Kluyveromyces lactis: one gene and its partner. The protein of the gene in region 1 binds, or shares a complex with, the protein of each later gene. Links are inferred from orthologs where the notes say so. Each region holds a gene or a part of one and is shown on either strand. Other genes may lie near its edges.

Evidence for each region. The genes of interacting proteins can lie anywhere in the genome.
Region 2: SRP68 (region 1) and SRP14 share a complex: the UniProt entries of both Saccharomyces cerevisiae proteins name them as parts of the fungal signal recognition particle (SRP) complex. The link is inferred for Kluyveromyces lactis from reciprocal best matches to the Saccharomyces cerevisiae genes SRP68 and SRP14.

Annotation. Positions count from the first base shown.
Region 1 is NC_006040.1:1,096,656-1,100,128, forward strand, and holds SRP68 (signal recognition particle subunit SRP68), read left to right. Parts: upstream 1-1,128; coding exon 1,129-2,883; downstream 2,884-3,473. Other genes in the region: UDP-galactose transporter HUT1, read right to left, coding at 1-639; KLLA0_D12892g (uncharacterized protein), read left to right, coding at 3,296-3,473. UniProt on the Saccharomyces cerevisiae protein: Component of the signal recognition particle (SRP) complex, a ribonucleoprotein complex that mediates the cotranslational targeting of secretory and membrane proteins to the endoplasmic reticulum (ER).
Region 2 is NC_006042.1:679,583-681,550, reverse strand, and holds SRP14 (RNA-binding signal recognition particle subunit SRP14), read right to left. Parts: upstream 963-1,968; coding exon 507-962; downstream 1-506. Other genes in the region: clathrin-mediated endocytosis regulator UBX3, read left to right, coding at 1-388. UniProt on the Saccharomyces cerevisiae protein: Component of the signal recognition particle (SRP) complex, a ribonucleoprotein complex that mediates the cotranslational targeting of secretory and membrane proteins to the endoplasmic reticulum (ER).

The sequences.
Region 1 (3,473 bases):
TAATGCAAACATGAGATGAGCACCAGTGATCTTATAAGTGGCCTTCTGGAATAGCTTATCCTGTTTAGCGTTGGTTAATCCATCAAGGAAAAGACTGCTACCCAGCAGCACAAAACCAATCAACGAAGAAGATGAAGAACTCTCAGAAACGTCATTCTCAGTCATAGAAGGTTTATGTCCATCCAAAGTGAATATTGTTATCCCAACCGTTACCAACAGTACCACTAATTTCTTACTTCTTGGAATTGGTGTACGGTACACAATCAAATGGACCATCAGCACCGGTAAAAGTTTGCATGACTTTGCCAACATATAAGTCAAGAAATCCACATAGCTTAACGAGTAAGCAGCTAACGGAGCAGAAATTGCCTGGGATAATGAAATAATCGCCATATCCCTTGTATGACTGGTCCAAAATTTCGATAGAGAAAGCACAGGTTTCTGCCATTTTATATAGATTAACCCACAAATCATAGCAATTGTTGCCTGTACCAATGCGACTATGTATGGTACTTGAAACGTACAGCCAGAGTTCGGCCATACTCTAGTGTTCAAAGGCTCTTGCAATAAACCCCATGTCAAAAACGAACAGTAGATTCCTCCTACCGCGAAAACATGTTTCAATATATGACGTCCCATTACCAACAATGTAACACCTTATAAGCTTGCCAGATACGTTTGTTGGGAACGAACTTGCTCTTTTTACCAGATATATCTCTTGTTTGACACCTTTTGTTATTTCAAGTAGAAATGATTCAAGATCGTTTCTATCACAGTGACAAATTTCAAACGGATATTGAACAGGGAAATCTGCCTCGAATTGTGTCTTAACACGGCTTATAAGATAAATAGTAAGCAGCAGTATCTGATATGGAAAGTCAGGTACCAATTGAGCAAGCGATGCATATACTGTTCTCTATTTTGTTCAGATCTGGCAACGATTTCCTCATCTTTCACCATAGTTAAGCTGGAAAAATTTTTTTATTTGAAATTCGTAATCGATCTAAAGCTACTTTGAATAATGTTGAACCATGACTATTTGAGGTCTCCACCAAGTTTAAAGGGTGTATTGGTTGACTTATTCCTTTCACAAGACTTCATCAATTGACTTTAAGCTATTAAGGAACAATGGTATACTCTCCTTTGGGTGTTACCTATGGGTTCAGATCCAATTTATTGTTAGAATCTTTTGCAGATTACCATAAATATCATAAAAAGGTTAACCATAAGTTACAACAATTGAGAGGCCGTTTAAAGTTGATTTCCAAGGATTCTAAGAACTATAAGGGCCAGGAGAAACTTGATAAGATTACGCATGAGGATTACAGTAAGAATCGGTTGTATGGATTCTTAATGCTTTTGTTAGCAGAAAGAGATGTGGCTTACGTAGAAAGTATCAAGGCCACAGGTAGAAGCAGGGGCCACTTGAGGAGTCTTGAATTGAAACTCATGCGTACCAGGATAAAGAAGGCCAATAGGTACTGTGACAGACTTATTTCATTGTCTCAAGGTGAGGACAAGTGGCAGATCCAAGCAGAAATAATGATATATGAAAAGTTAATCCGGACCGAATATGAGCTGTACGGTAAGAAACAGGTCAAATTCTCCGATGCAGAGAAGATTTCTACCCATCTAGCATTAGCACTAGCTGCGGTCAACTTTTTAGTTGATTCAAAGCTATTGAAGGAAGGCGTGGCCGATGCAGTGAAGAGCAAGTACCTGTACATTTTCAAAGAGAAGGCCAATGCCTTTTCTGTCAGAGATCAACAAACCTATATTTCAAGAGTCATACAGGCTAACCCGGAAGACCAACTTTTGCAATTGTTACAATCTCATGGGTTCTCTTTCTCGGTTCCCGAAACTGACGCTTCAAAGAGTCAATCCCGTGAGATTTCATGGAGATCATATTCCGCAACGATAGAAGACAGTAAAGTGTTTGAAGTGTACAGTGAATTGGCTGAATTGCACAACTCCAGCAAGCTTTCCAATTTGAACGATAAACTATTTAAGTGGAACAGAGCCATTGATTTACAAAAAGAATATATGACGACATGCTCTGAAGATGATACTGACGAAAACAATCAAATTCTCTTGACTTATCTACAATACAATGCCATGGTAACCGGTGTAGAAAGAGACAGCAGCTTGTTCGAGAGTCTTTTGAAGCAATGGGAAAGATTTGACAATAAGTCTTTTACGAGCAAGTTAAACAAGTACAAAGAAGTGGACCATATTATCAAGAACTTAAAGAGTTTGTTAAGTCAGATTATGGATCTACCGGGTGTTTACTCAGACAGCGACCTAACAAACCAAGTGTTCCTCTTGAAGACTTACTATGAAACTTGTTTCACTTCCAAACTGCTAGCAAACATATATCAATCGAAGAAGAAATACGTGGAATCACTCGCCCTATATGTCGACTGCTTACAAAGAATTGAAAACGCCGAAGAATCCCTGATAAACTGGGATGAAATCTATCTACCATCCCAGCTACTCTCGAAGGGGAAGATCACAGACTTGAAGAAATACATCACTACCGGATGGAGATCTGTTGTTGCCCTGGCAGAGCACAAGAAATCTATGGAAAAGAACAAGAAAACCCGTCAATTCGAACCATCTCTAGTCGAGATTTTGGAAAGCAAAGTGAGACCAAGTGACGTATCCTTGGATAACTTGTACCCACTCGCACCAAGACTTCTTCCAATTCCTCCAAAACCTTTCCTCTACGACTTGGCTTACAACTACTTCAACATACCAGATTCTACCTCTGTTACAGAAGAGTCGGTATCTTCAACTACTGCTGAGGCAAACCAAGACGATGAACCCGTCAAGGAATCGAAAGCACCATCCAAGAAAGGTTTATTCGGTCTTTTCAGAGGTTAATTATACCACAACTCCCATCCAAGACGATTATAGTCAACATAGTTAGTATTTTTGTAAAATATATACCGTCCCAACATCAAGATAAGATAGCTTGGAGATAATTACCGAAGGGAGCCTAGTTCATGACATCGGTTCAGAACTGGAGCAACAACAGTAACGCTGATGGAGGAGGAGGTAACCAAAAGTGAGTTTTATTCATGGTATCTTCCTTCATTTAATCGTGCTTATAATGAACTTTTCATGAGGAAAGACTTCAGAAATTGAAACTTTATCTATATAACATTCACCCTAAAAAGATGGAAGAAATACAGGTTACTCAGGCAATAGAGCCAGGCAATAAATCGTATATTAGAGCTTTATCAGTGGTGTTTAATTAAGGACAACATTTACTCTTATCCTAGGCAGTTTTAGGATGACACTCCGAAGTTGTATTGATGATCTATTTCACAAGCAGTACGTTTGTTGGGTGTGTTTAGATACGGAGTGTGAGAACGACGACTGGATCGTACACCAATGCGGTTGTAACTTACAGGTACACAGAAAATGTCTAATAGGATGGATATTCGATCTAAATAAGTCGAAGCTAGGGA
Region 2 (1,968 bases), on another chromosome or scaffold:
AGAAAGGGACCAGGAAAGGGATAGGGTAATCGAGGAAAGCCAACTTAAAAAGAAATGGTTGGCTTGGAGAAAATCTGTACTAGTGCCAGAACCATCGGGTGACGGTTGCAGAGTAAGCATCAGACTAGAAAATGAAAGAATTATTAGAAGATTTGATGCTTCATTAACAATTGAGGAGATTTACGCATACGTTGCATTATACAGAGCAGGTTTATTATCTGACACTAGCAGCGAGAATGATATTACACAAGAAAAACCAAATTACGAGTATCAGTATGACTTTCAACTATATTCACCTGTGCCCAGAACCCGTTTGGAGCCAACCACAGTGATCAAGGAAGAACGGACAATTTATCCATCGGGAACAATTGTCGTGGAGTTCGAATGAAAACCAAATTACTGGTTTGCAGTTTGACATCTATATATGTATATATAACATGTACTTTATAATGCTACACGATTGCGGATTTATGATTCATGGGTGATAATAGGTTGGGAATATTTCATCAGTTTTTCTTACCACCCTTCTTCTTCTTCTTCTTTTTAATTAATCCAGACATACTTGTTTTTACAACATTAACATAATCCTTCCAAAATTTATCAAGAGTCTTTGAATCTACCAAAGTGAAGAATTTCGTTCGTTTCCCATCATATGGCATGCTCACTAGCACGATAAGTCTGTATGGTTTTGTATCTGGTTGAGCGTTTTGTTTTAAACGTTTGGATTCTGACATCTTTGAGATATCACCAGTAGGATTGGAAGTAACATCCAATTCATTAGGTTTTTGAACGTGATGACTGCCCAAGTCTCTTTTCAAGCTTACTTTGAGCTGATTGTGCGATACCTTGGACATTCTGAAAGCTTTTTCAAGCTTAACAAAAAATTCGTCATGAGACAAAGGTTTCTTTATGAAATCTGGCGTTTCCTTAAGCCCACTAGCGGTTCCATCTTTGTCTGACATAATGGGAAGTTACCTGTATATTCTGGTGACTTGGATAAGTGATGATATTGAACCTTTTTCTTTGGACATCTTTACCATATTCTGCCTGTCGAAGGTTGAATCTAAGGCCTTTCCCTCATTTGACTGGAGCTAAGTACGATTTTTTCAACTGGCAATTACACTACCCGGCCATCGTCCCTTCACTATGTGTTTCCTCTTTATTTCTACGACGTTTCTGATATCCACTCTGTTTCTATACCGGTAAACAAGTGCAAAAAGAATGAAATGTGGCAAACCACGTGACGTTCTTCATTACCCGGATAACATTTAACATCTGCGCCAGATTTGCCAAATCAATTGTGCCTATTCACCTGAACCCGAAAAGAAATTCGTTAGTTTTTTTAGAAAAAGAAATTTCCGATCCTCGATCTTGTTTTTCCCAACAAAAAAAAAAAAGAAAAACAACAGGTCCCCATACTATATGAGATGAGACGAGATGAGATGAGATGCGATGAGTTACAGAGAAACAGAAAGGGGGTAGTCATTGTCACTTTGCACTAAAGAGAAGCGTGTGTAAGCTTCTCTGTCATCAAGGAGATTACGGACTGTTTTTTGAGGTATCCTATTGGATATGTAAGTTGATCGCGTGATTTGCTACAGAGTTTTGTTGGCAATGTTACACCTTCAATCGATCAACTGTACATTCTCTCACCCTTGATGAGAGATCCGGGAGTATCCAGTGTTATTGTAGAAGCTCAATTGTCAATCGATGGCAAGATATCAGACATTGGTGTCTGTTTTGTTTTTTTTTTTTTTCTCTCCCTACTAGCCTTTGACGCATTTTCCTTTTGGTTGGATTTGGTTTCATAAAGAATCAGTGTCCCTCGCTGATTTCACCACAGTACAATTCGTAAAAAAAAAGAATTGAAACATTAAACCGTTAAGCGTAGCCAATACAATCGTTTATAGGTGCTTTTTTGTCCAATTGGATATTCGTTCTTAGTATTTATTTGTAGTATATAGTGAA